2 linked regions of the Neodiprion lecontei genome follow. The protein of the gene in region 2 purifies or fractionates together with the protein of the main gene of each other region. This does not show direct contact. Links are inferred from orthologs where the notes say so. Each region holds a gene or a part of one and is shown on either strand. Other genes may lie near its edges. The genes, in order: intraflagellar transport protein 122 homolog and WD repeat-containing protein 19.

Evidence for each region.
Region 1: the proteins of WD repeat-containing protein 19 (region 2) and intraflagellar transport protein 122 homolog purify together in Homo sapiens (affinity purification with mass spectrometry; 4 studies listed by BioGRID and IntAct, counting the BioPlex papers as one, with this or other methods). This does not show direct contact. The link is inferred for Neodiprion lecontei from reciprocal best matches to the Homo sapiens genes WDR19 and IFT122.

The regions. Positions count from the first base shown.
Region 1 is NC_060261.1:2,456,945-2,464,859, reverse strand, and holds intraflagellar transport protein 122 homolog, read right to left. Parts: upstream 6,227-7,915; 5' UTR 5,848-6,226; coding exon 5,795-5,847; intron 5,544-5,794; coding exon 5,434-5,543; intron 5,293-5,433; coding exon 5,172-5,292; intron 5,084-5,171; coding exon 4,873-5,083; intron 4,809-4,872; coding exon 4,735-4,808; intron 4,657-4,734; coding exon 4,386-4,656; intron 4,309-4,385; coding exon 4,147-4,308; intron 4,067-4,146; coding exon 3,769-4,066; intron 3,682-3,768; coding exon 3,311-3,681; intron 3,221-3,310; coding exon 2,828-3,220; intron 2,737-2,827; coding exon 2,597-2,736; intron 2,528-2,596; coding exon 2,253-2,527; intron 2,180-2,252; coding exon 1,953-2,179; intron 1,869-1,952; coding exon 1,481-1,868; intron 1,312-1,480; coding exon 1,139-1,311; intron 1,037-1,138; coding exon 875-1,036; intron 762-874; coding exon 651-761; 3' UTR 620-650; downstream 1-619. Other genes in the region: uncharacterized protein LOC107221624, read right to left, coding at 114-243; tRNA pseudouridine synthase A, read left to right, coding at 6,501-6,547, 6,690-6,803, 6,942-7,076, 7,179-7,328, 7,414-7,660, 7,770-7,915. UniProt on the Homo sapiens protein: As a component of the IFT complex A (IFT-A), a complex required for retrograde ciliary transport and entry into cilia of G protein-coupled receptors (GPCRs), it is required in ciliogenesis and ciliary protein trafficking.
Region 2 is NC_060265.1:8,950,244-8,955,216, reverse strand, and holds the start of WD repeat-containing protein 19, read right to left. Parts: upstream 3,285-4,973; 5' UTR 3,074-3,284; coding exon 3,059-3,073; intron 2,525-3,058; coding exon 2,145-2,524; intron 1,975-2,144; coding exon 1,764-1,974; intron 1,434-1,763; coding exon 1,321-1,433; intron 1,211-1,320; coding exon 793-1,210; intron 485-792; coding exon 251-484; intron 184-250; coding exon 58-183; intron 1-57. UniProt on the Homo sapiens protein: As component of the IFT complex A (IFT-A), a complex required for retrograde ciliary transport and entry into cilia of G protein-coupled receptors (GPCRs), it is involved in cilia function and/or assembly.

The sequences.
Region 1 (7,915 bases), on a different chromosome or scaffold from region 2:
TATACGAAACAATAAAATAACGTGAATACATTAGTATCGACGTGATTGTATCACTTTTTGGGGTAAAATTATCCCTGAGAGATGAAACTCAACTATGTAATGATCGAACTTACATTTTCCTTGACGCTCCAATGGAGCATCTTGAAATGTCGTTGCATCTCCCAGGGATTGATCCCAGGCAGCACTCTGACCAGATGCTATCGTTGCGACGGCAAAAATCACTGCAAGCAACACGCTGAACATCTTTACAGTTCCGTACAACTGATTGAAAAGGTAGGATATCACTCGCCACTATGAGATCTCGGTAACGGAGTGCTGTTTACTTAGCTGTTGGAGCAATTATCATGTGCTTGATAATTTCCAACAACTGTAATTTCTTTCTTGGATAACTGTGACTATACTTATTTTACCGCTAGGTATACGTTTACTTATTCATTCTATAACTATTACTGAATTTTTCAATACTATGATATATTACTGTGAACTGGTCATTGACGTTATCAAACAATAAATAGCGTGATATGCATAATTGTTTAAAATTTATAACAACAAAGGGAGCTGAAATTAATTTGCTAACAGTCGATAAATAAATAGATTGATCATTTCTTTATTCCTATGAGGTGTGACTTGTTTTCTATAGATATTCCTTTTCACGTTGCGTGTCTTGTAATTTGTTCTGCTCTAGGTAACTGTGAACTTCTACAGAACGGACAGTGGCCGTGACGCAATATTGCCAATTCGTAGTCATCTGAATGGAATAACTGAAAAATCATAAACACACTTCTCGTTATATTAATTACAATACTTCTTCAAAGCATCTTTAGTGGCTCGTAAGAATTCGGGCACTAACAAATAAGCCCCAAGTTAACGGTACCTTTAAACATGATTTGCACAAAGTTATTTGAAGATCCGGCAAAAGATTTCTGAAATATCTGGTCTTGAAGGGTTTTGGCCAGTGTGCAATTAGTACGCTGGACGGTTCTATACTTGCTAAAACACCTCGACCAACGGTAATTCTTGATTCGCCTGTCTTATCCTGCGAACATTGAAAATTTGTGTAATATTTCTGAAAAATAATTGCAGCTACGAACGACAAGAGAGTATATATATAAATTGTTTGTAGAATTGTGATATATACCTCGTATCGTATCAAGCGAGCTGTAAACAGGTCGCCAACGGGCGTAGGTATGGTGAGTTGATTATCACTGATCAAAGAACTATCAGAGAGAGGTCTTGGCTCTTCGATTAATCTTTTGGCTTCTTCGTCAGTGATTCCTTCTTCCAACTCAAATTCAACTATAGGTAATATTTCTGGATAGGCAAGAGGTATTCACATTAAATAAGAAGAATATTGCGCTGACGGAATGAATATACAAAATAATAATCGACGATTTCTAGTGGAATTGGTCTCTCTGTTTATTTCCCCCATCTACAGTTTGAAAGTATTTACGAATAAAGTATCCTTTTGACTTGAACTTACCAAACATGACGAATGAATGCTGAAATTTAAGTCCGCACTGAACACATTTATTTCCAAAAATGTTGTTGGAAGGTAGAAGTGAATTGAAGGTAGAACAGCGGTAGCAAAGAGGTAGGAGTTCTTCAGGATCGCTGTAAGGATAAGCCCTAGCTGCCAAAGTTGAGACCTCCACTTGCGATAATAGACTTGCAGGAATTTTCATACCCCGTAATCGCTCAAAGAGCTGTGTTACCAATTTATGGGCACCGAGAATACGCGCTTGCTTAATCAGTGTATAAGTTATGGTGAACTGTGATACTCCTTCGACTTGTATATCTTGAGTTTTCATTAGCAAAAATCGAGATATATTGAACAAAGCCTCCGGCATCAATGAGGTGAATGGTTCTTCCTGAAACATGAAGGTATAACATTGTAAGAAGACATCCTACGATTATTGTACTGATTAGTCATCAACAAATGAATTACAACTCACCAAATATTTGTAAACTTCGTTATATGCGTAGTAAATATCAGCTTTATCATAATATATTTGAAAAGTTGCCATTATTTCGTCGGTACGCTTGCTCAAATCGAGGCTGAGTTGTGAAAGGATCCAATAGAAGTACGAAGCATCGCGGAATCTTTTTTCAGCCACAGCATTTTTGGCTAACAGTGTGAGAACAGATATCGATTCCTCAGGTTGACCAGCCATTTGAAATGCTGCCCATATAAAATCAGTTGAAATATTTAATTATTAACGAGAAATCAAACAGAGAACAATTTCGTATCGTACCTTCTTGAGCTTCAGAAAAACGACCAGTTTCAGCTAACCATCTTGCATATGGTCCATATACGCGAGATTTTAGTTTTGGATTTCTTTCCGCCAGTTCGAACGCCTCAGGCCATGCTTGTGCGTCTATCAAAACATCAGCGACGTCAGGATCATCTCCTAATCGACTGAATATTTCAGCAGCGCCATGCGTCGCGCCTAACTGTCTCAGTTTTTTAGCTATCATAGACAAACTGTCTCTCTCGGCCTTATCCAGTTGTCTTCCAACTTTGATGAGCCTGAATTGTTAAGATCAATGTATAAGAAAAGAAAATTGTTGGACTTTAAATTAGGCAGCTAATACACACATGTCGATCCAACCATATTCAGCAATGATATTAATGGCTCGTTGAACATCTCCAGCAGTGAGGAACATTTCTGCAGCTGCTCGAGGTTCTCCCAAACTTTTTGCCCACTCAGCTCTTCGCCTCAGTAAAATTGTTCGGTCCTGAGATGTAGACATAAGATCATTGGCTAAAATTCCTAAATTTTGTAAAATGAGATTAGAGCAAAAAAAATTAAAATTGTCTTTCATGTACCTGAGTGTTACCACTGGTGATAAATTCTTGAGCTATATCAAACATTCTCAAATCTGAATACATATTAAGAGCGTATTGTTGAAGTCCAGCTTTCTGATACAGTCTTGCAGCTTCTCGAAGTTTTCCCATTGCCGCGGCCGCAGTAGCCATGCAAGCTTCTCGACCCCATTCCCCAGAATTCAATTTTTCCTCAACTTCAGAAACGATATCGATATAACGTAATTTTTTAATACGCGAAAACGCCGCGTATGCTACGTTCAGTTCTAAGTGATCCAGAGCAGCAGTCCCCAAAGCGAGCCAATCACCTTCAGCTACGCCTAAACAAGCTATTGCAAAAGCTTCTTTAAACATTCCTCTTTCTAGGTACTGATACATAGATGATGACATTGGTACCTGAAATTCATTGTCATCTTTAGTCACTGTTACTAGTTTAGCCTAACAAGTTAAAAAGAGGTTTTGCGAGTTACATATTTGGAACCATACCTCTACCGTCAGTATCGCCGCTCCGTTTAAACAGTACAACTTGGACCCATTATGCCCAACAACAAAGCCGGAAAATTTTTGTTTGTATTCGTTAAAATCAGCGACTTTTACAGCCAAGTAATCGTTCCCTGAGTAGCACATCATATCCTCAAACACGGAATTGAATGCAACGCTTGTAACATCTTGGATTTCTCGTAATATTTCTTCTGTATTTAGATCAAACACCGTAAGCAAACCCGTGTCGCTTACTACGGCTAACTTTTCTTTGAGTGGGCTAATATCTAGACAGTGTATAGCACCTTCAACTTTTGCCAGCTGAGCTGGAAACGGATTGTCGAGATATATCTTTGAAACGTATCCGGTTTTCAATCCTGAAATATAATATTGACAAGTTTATTATTCATTATTAATTACTGTTAGGCTAATATCAATCTGGTAAGCGTAAAAATGAATTCAACCTGCAATGATGCATTCTTGACCTGATGGACCACCGGCGACTTTTATATAGGTAATAACGCCATCGAGAATCCACTCTCTTTCAATAATACCAGTAAAAGTTAGGCTCTGCAGTCGTTTGTCTAGGCACAGTACCAAATGGTTTGTGGTTACAACTAACAAATTGCAATTCAAGGACTGAGGAAGTTTGTCCCTGATGCGATAGTGCATTCCCTCGCTGTTTCCCGAAGGTTCATATATGATCACTCGTTCAGGTAATTGCACAGCGAGTCTATCTCGATAAACTGCAATTCTACAGACCTGAAATAACAATCGTGCAATTTCATTCGATCCAGGTTGGAGACGTAGGAATAATGAAAAAAACTTGAAGTACGGCTTACCAAATCTTTGCACTTAATTCGAACTTTTTGATTTGTAACCAGGTGCTGGATTATAACATCAGTCATATTTTCTCGATATGCATATCGGTCTCCGTACAAGCCGTGAACAGTATTCCAGGACAATTGAGAATACGTTATTGTTCCATCTTGACAACCAATGGCCTGGGACACAAAAGATGTTAGCCACTGTAAATCTATTTGCAAATTTCAATGGGATTGAGAAATAGAATTGAACGCACGACGTGTGAGGATCCTGGATGAACGGCGCAACTCCATACCCAGGATGAAAAAGTATCACCAATCGAAGCCAGCTGAATGCCGTCATGGGTCATTAATAAACAGCGTTTATTGCTGCCAGCTACAAGAATGTATTGTCCGTCAGGAAAGTAGGCTACATTCAGTGGAATGAAATTCAGCGACCTGTCCCTGCTCACTGTTTTTCCAGCCAGAGTGTAGAAGGAAAGACCGCCGCCCCAATCAGCGACGCATAACACGTCCACAGAATCGTCCCTGTTGTCGGTAAAAATAAAATTGACACTTCCAATGATTCTTTAGTGAGAAGAATGTTCCAGAAATATTTCAGCTTACTTCAATGGGCTCCAAGACAAACTCCAGATTGGCGTTCCCCCTGCACGATCAATTCGAGTCTTTTCTTCTCCGTTCTGGAAACAATCTTTCAACATTATTACGTTTCAATTAAAAATCTGAGATAATTAATGGACGAACCTTATTTCTGATAGAAACATATCCCAGCGCAAGTCCAATGGCCAAGTACTGTCCATCCTTTGTCCAAGCACAGCAATTTACTCTTCCTCCAGACTTCAGCTTCTGCACAGCCTTCTGTTCAGTGGACCAAAATGCGATGTCGGAAAGTGCACAGCTGAGCAACTGGTGCGAGACAGGATTAAATTGCATCGCTTGAACAGCTTCACTATGGCTAAAAAATTTGCTTTGCATTATTCATTGGCACATACAAAGGCTTACGTAAAAACGAACCGGCGTAAAAAGCTTTAGTAATGTCTTACGAGTATTTTAATATTCCTTCGAGCTTGGAAGTCCATATAATAACGCTTTTGTCTGCACTACCAGACGCAAACTTCTTTCCATCTCTCGCGTAGCAAACGCAATAGACGACATCTTTGTGTCCTAAAATGTAGATTTGAATTAATCGTGATTTGTAATCTAGTTTAGTTGACTAATTAAAATGCTGCACAATCTGGTATAATAGTGGAAAAGGAAGGGCATGATCTGTGTTATATTGAGCAATAAATTATAGGGATAATATACCTTTGAGTGGTTGTACAAGCGCACCATCATTGGTTTCGTAGACAAGGACTTGACTGCCAGCAGCGACTATTAATTGGGTTCCATCTGGGTTGAAGCAGAGATCATAGATGCTGAAATAAATTTGGGAACAATCAATTCAATAATGAGGATTAAGAAAGAAGAAGGAAAAACTGTTTATGAATGCGTTTGCATGTGGAAAATACTATGCAAACTTTGGTTTTCATTTGAATGCTGTATACACAAGAGTATGCATACAGATTAAACAAACTTTGCATATAACAGTGAAATACTGAGATACCTCATAATTGTTTGTTCAATTGTTTGCCGTGTATATAAATTTATGCTGTTATTGATCACTTACCATTGGTCTGTTTTATCTTGAACTTTATCAACCCATGTAGGATGAGATCTCATTTTAATAACTTCAGTGTAATAAAAAGGATGCCTCTATTCTCTAATTCGTTCACTAGCAATGAATTTAGCAGCCTATTGTCATTGTAATTTAGGTTCAAGAACCGTTAACCACTTGAGTCTACCCAAATGCATATATACATTGCTATTTACGTCTAATAAGCGCACGCTACTGGGTCGAATCAGTAGTTTGTTTTGATTTTTGACACTTCGCAAATTAAACCGGTTACCGGGGCAACGTGATCCAGATTTCTGTGGCGTTCTAACCTCACTCTACAATACTAGTCTCAAAGTCTCAACATTTATGAGGTTGAACTTAGTAACGTTGCTTTAACGATGCATGTTTACTTCGCACCCTTAGGATTGACTGAAATTCAGCTATTAAATCATAACAAATAAAATATGTTCATATACTGAAAAGTCAACTCCTTGAAAGTCGTTCTAAAATTGTACTACGATTTATTCCATGATGTTTTTTTACGTTAACGTTACTAACTTCAGACCTGTCAACATTTATGGACTCAACCTTAACCTAACAGAAATTAGTCGGGTTAGGTTAGGAAATTTCACGTGCCACATGCCGAATTCTACAAATACGACGCCTTCTCAGCTTACTCGATTATTAATATCACTTAGCACTGATTTAGCTGTAAGAAATGAAAAGATACTTATTATACATGAATTATATTGGCACCCACTTCAGGTACGCGTCTTTTATACAAGATTTAGTATATTTTGTTGTATATTACAGTCTTGCTTTATACTAATATTATAACAGTAGGTAAAATTTAGTCGAACCTAATTAATTTGTTTAATTTTCACACAATATACATGAACAATTGCAGTGGAATGCAAAGACAAGAGTCCATACGCACAATTCAAGGCACTATTGAAGAAGCATTGGCCGACTCCATTAAACCCCGAAGTCTATCTGAACCAATTCTTCAAGTTTCCAGCAGGTTTTAATTGCTGCTTATATGTTGTAAACATATTCATAATATGAGTATTAAAGAAATCGATGGGGCGGTTGAAAATTGAGTATAATCGAACACGGCTCAAGAATTTCCTAATTTTTACACCCACTGCAATTCTCACAGAACCGATAGCGGCGTTCATGCTCTGTCAACAACAGCCCACATCGACTTGATTCATCCAAAGAACGAGTCATACAATACGCAATATATGAAGCACAGACTAAATAAGACTTTTGCTAAGAATGGTCATGCGATCAGGTCAGTGTATTTATTAACTGTTATGCAAATCTTGGTCAACATTGTATCGATCTAAAATTTATTTACCTGTTTCAAAGACACGTATCAAATTTAACGACCCAGAATCACTTCCTGTTACCAAGTCAGCACAGACTTTCATGCCAGACATTCAGCCAAGTCTCGATCATATTTGTATCGTCTCATGGTTCCTAAGAAAGAATGTTATCAGGATATACCAGTCAGTGAGCTGTATCGATGTTTTGCACTTCTTGGGTACGCAACTATAACAGATTTTTATCCAAAAATTACTTATCAGTAAATTTCAGCTGTATAATAAAATACTATTGTCCGTTTTCAGTAATACTGGTCCCTTCGATGCGGAACGAGTAAAAAGGGGAACTCAGCTTTTCCTCGGACCTAAAGATTTTCAAACATTTGCTGGAAAAATAAAGAACAAGTATCAAAATAAAAAGGTTGTTTATGTCCGGCAACTTGATTACTTCACTGTGGAGAAGGGTCAGCCTTTAATGATTGATGATCCCCTTTCCACACAGTTCGATTACTGGGATTTCAGGTGTGGGGGTAGAGCTTTTCTTTATAATCAGGTAATGATCATCATTTGTATGGGTCAGACAATCGAACACTACGTTCCCCTATCTTGTCCTATTTTCATAATAATAATTAATATGGCTCTTTCAATATTTAACTTGGCAGGTTCGTCGAATGGTCGGAACCCTGATCACACTAGGACTAGGAAAAATTACGGAAAGAGATATTAGGTGTATGTTACAAGTTCCGTCACGTCATAACTGGGACTCGCGTGTTCAAGTATTGCCACCGTACGCTCTCTATTTATGCGA
Region 2 (4,973 bases):
GGTTTATTGAGTATGTAAAATTACGCATTTATATTTGAGTCTTCTATAAAGTCTTACATCATTTCCGTAAACTAAAAAGTCGGGCGACAAAGCATGGCACGTTATTTTAGAATCCAAAGTGTTAGTTTGTGGAAATATTTTTGATTCAGTTGCACCGTTTGCCGAGTCCTGTTCCGTTTCTATCTGAAATAAAACCGCCAAGATTTTAATTCTTTATCTCTTACATTTTGCATACACAATGTAAACTCACAGTGTGTAATTGAAGCTTTCCATCAAACAGAACGGAAACAAAAGTTTGATTCAGGCATATACTCTCGACTGTCCCTAAGTAATCCCTTTCAAAATGTACAGGGTGATCATAATTGAATTTTGTTAAATTCCAAAATAATACTCTGTTATTCAAAGCTGCTGCTAAATGCAAAGGACCGACAGCCATTACAGATGGTTCTATCAGGGTATTGATTGTCTGCGGTGTTGGTTTACTCTGAAAATATTCATTTGTGTCATTATTTCCATATTCGGATAATAATATATCTATGAATATTTCGTAACGTCACATTTATTTTAAGCATGGTTATACTGATACAAACTGGATATGAAATACCAGATGGGGAGCTACAGGTGTGTAATTTCTTTTTAAAACATCCTAATCTTACCCAATCAACTTTGGTACTTAACATAAAATTGTACAAATAATTGGATTGAATCCCTTTTTTTGTCATTGTTAATATATTTTTCAGCTTATTTTTGCACCCAATTATTAACCATATTATTTGCACACAGTTTACGTACCTTATCAAGCATATATAAATGTACAACCACTTCAGTCAGGCTTGTTAAAATGGCAATTCTATTTCCACATACGCTGGTTATTTTTGGTAATTGCAATAAATAAATTAAAATGTTTCCATTGTGCGTCGCGGCGGCTAACATACTACCATCGGATGACCATTCCACGTGACTGATGCCTGTCTCTCCTGCCAAAGTTATCACTTTATTGGTTTCTTCTAAATTTTGTATACTGTGTACTTTCAACGTATTGTCGCCACATGTTACAAGTTTTCCAGCGATATTGTTCAGTGCAATATCATTTAAAGAATCTCGATGATTTTTGATTTGAAATAACTCTTGTCCAACTTCTTTGATATGCGTTGATATTGCTATTAGAAAGCCAGCCTCGAAACCAACCAATATGTAACCATCGCCATACCTGATTCACATTTTATAAAATACGCGATATAGATATTAAATTTTTTCGTTTTCTGTGATCAAATACCAGATATATTGTAGTAACGTATGCATTTTTCATAATGAACTCACCACTTGTGAGTTACGATTTGACCATAGCGCTTTTGAAACGCCAATTCAATGGGATTGTCTGGATCCAAAACATTGTATAAAAATAATGTAGTTTTGCTGACGACGAGCGATACCTGTTAAATAATACGGTTGATTATTAATTGCTTCGTACTTTTAATTGCTCGTTTTACCAATATCATACATACATCAATTAATTTTACTGCTATGAGCAATTTTCACCTGATTTTTTTTATCAATAACTGAAGATATGATTCAACAATTGAATTACAAATCACCCACCTTCTGTACCCCAAGAATAAACTAAATTTCACAGTTTCTTAAATAGATTTGAGAGACACGAATCTTATAAAGGGATCAGGTTGTGATAAAAGCATTCTAATATAAAATCGAGTCTTTTTTAACTAATAATTTCTTTGAAATTGTATATCAAATAGATAGCATACTGTGTTTTCACCGCCGATTCTCTGGTCCATTTTCATTTCACTAAATTGAAGGTCGGATGGCTCTCCTTGTATTGTTATTTCCCTACGTGTATCACCTTCGCACGTACTGATCGATAATACCTTATCTTCACTTGCCAAAGCAAGGAGGCCCTCCAATGACCAAGCGCCGCAAACAATTTTCTTTTTGTGCTTACCTAGAATAGGAATGCGTCTGAAAAAGAAAATTTGATATATCTGTAACATCTTATCAATATAAATTGGAAATGAGAGAATGTTTTCCTATCCATAAAGTTTTAAATCATCGAGGGTGTGCAATATAATTGGAAAGCTATCTATATACTGATAATGACTGTTCTATTTTATGTAGAAAAGGTCACGCACTTAGCATTAATATGATCGTAAAGCGCTAGGTTTCCTTTTTGCGTACCCACTGCAAGAGTGCAGTTCTTTTTCGACCAAATCATGCAAGTTAAACTATCTCTTAGTCCCGTGTCTATTTGGGATTTTTTTCCTGTCGTTGCATCCCACAAGGTAATAGCAGATGATCCGTTTGAAATCATAGCCAATAAATCTCCGTCGGCATCCCAACCCATGCCCGTACATAAACCAGGTAGTTGAATACGGTCTTGTATTTCCCCTTGGCGGTTGTATATCACAACTGCGGAATCGCAACCAGTTGTAGCTAAATATGTACCGTTGCCAGGGCGCCAAGCAATGTACACGTTTCCAGGACCATGCGGTTGGTCCAAGCGGTATAAAACCTGTGCACAGAAGTAATCGATTCAATTCACAATACGCAGAGATGAGAAAGAACTGTTTTACTGTGAGATGTCGCCAATATACATAAATTTTGTTTACGAACTCGAAAGCAAAAATAGATATCACGATTTGCGGACACACACAAAGCTAGTGTAAACTAAAGTGAGTTGTGTACACGTAAAACTCAAGTAAGAGAACTGATATGAGAATAAAAATTTGGAACTTTGGTGGAAAAATAGTGACTAGATATAGAAAGCATTAAAAACTCAGGTGCTAATTTTACAGTTAATTTTCAATTTGCAAACATCTATACTTGACAATCGATGGATTAAGAAAAAAAACACAATATTCAGGTGATTTTAAAAAACATATTTTACCTCATCAAGAAATGTTTAGGTAACAGCACAGGGGTGAGAATTTGTAATTAAAATGTATATAAATGAAGCTCTTCATTATCTGCTTGAAGCGTATTGTTGAGCTTTAGTTTTAATTAAGTAACGTAATAGTTTGATGTTTGACATTAATTCATAACCTACCTTATCTGATGCCATTCTTGCAAAATGGCAAACAACTTGAATCTTTACTAATAACTAATACATGGGACAGAAGTCATGATTGTTTATGTTAGCATCAACTCATTACACTGATATCGATTTATTTGACACATTTTCAAACTGAATGTCACTACAATCTCCATGTTGTTTATTACGTATCGCGTTTGGACGCGTCGCATGCAAGGCCGCAAACAGGGAGATCGAGATTTAAACTAGCGTGTGAAACTGTATAGGTGTGTTTCTGCCACGGTGTAAGAATAAGAGGTGGTCCGGTGTTGAGCTCTGTGGTTATTATGTCTTAGTACGACGGAAATCCGCCAGGGACCTCATGCGTCGGTGAGGATGAGGTAAACAATAATGGCGGCGATCTAACAGACAGTATTCACGAAAGTTTGACGTTTGCATGTGGAAAATCAAAACTGCTGCTGAAGATTACACGAATACATTAATATTTAACAAAATAAAATAATTTTATGATGAATGTATGTGACTATAGAATATAGGGTCCTAGATCACGCCTTCGGAACGCCGTAAAGAGATTTCGTATTTACGCCAAGTAGCACTAACATCTGGCATCTCATTTAATCTCATTCGAATGTATTTGATTCAGCACGGCCACATTCGAAACAAACGGTTTTCGAAATAGATATTTGGCCTGAAACCTTGCTAAAAATCTAGAATTTTTTTAATTCGTTTAATTTCATGTACGGATTGTGCAAATAAACAGTTTTAAATGAATTTTTGTTCAAGATGTTCTGTGCAGATTAGTTATTTCTTTGAACGATCTTGAAACTTTTGCCAAAATCTCATGAAGACATTATTCTTTGAGAATGACTAAATTTGTTTGAATTTTAGTAAGAACCCATTTTTAGAGAGGGCTGACATCGATGAGCGTTTCAGATACGACTTTTATTATGGTATTGCTGGAACTTTACAGAAATATTATTCTTTCAAACATTTGCTGTTAAATTTCAGCACTTTTTTGACAATGTCCATCATGTTCCATCTTAGGGTGGATTGTAATGCAATTATACTTTCAGTTCTCACAATATATGATATATACATTTGAAACGGTCGTTAAATTTTCCCTTTATCAATGATATGCGATTGTGATCATATTTTTCCTATAATGCAAGACTTATAGATCATCCTTTCTATTGAACACTGATGAATTGCTATTTTAGCACATTGGATTACATACTATTGCTCAAATATGTTGATTACTCGATAATTCAGTGATAATGAGGATTCGATGAAAGGGGAAGGCTTAATTTTATTCTACGTACTTTTGACTTCTCGATCGTACTTTTATTATATGATTTAATTCAATCACTTATTGATAGTGAGTTTGTGAAAGAAGAAAATCATCTATAGGTACAATAATTAGGTATATTATCATTTGAATTTGTTATTGATCGTGTCTACATGTTACAAATGAATGCAATACACAATTTTGATATTATTCAATAATACGGCAGTAAATACTTGATATACAATATGCAACGCGTTTATGCAACAATTAATAATTCTACATGTTACTCAAAGCTGAAGGGATAGTAAATACTCTCAACAAATTGGTATACAGACTATGAAGATAACTTCTGAGTAGAAATAGGTCCAAGTGCATACTCTAATTATCGTTAGAATTGGTATCATCGACAGACACACTGGTACCTTTTGATCCGAAAGTACGTTTTCCCGTTTTGCAATTATTTGTTTTATTTCATATCACATGAGAGATGGAATTATTGTAGTTTTATTATTTCAATAATTTATCTTCACGCATAATCCAAACTCGATATTGGAACAGGAATATCTTAGAAATTGAGTATCTAATGCGGATTTTTTATTGATTTCATCCAGCGAAGTAAAAATTATAATGTTTCACAAATTATGA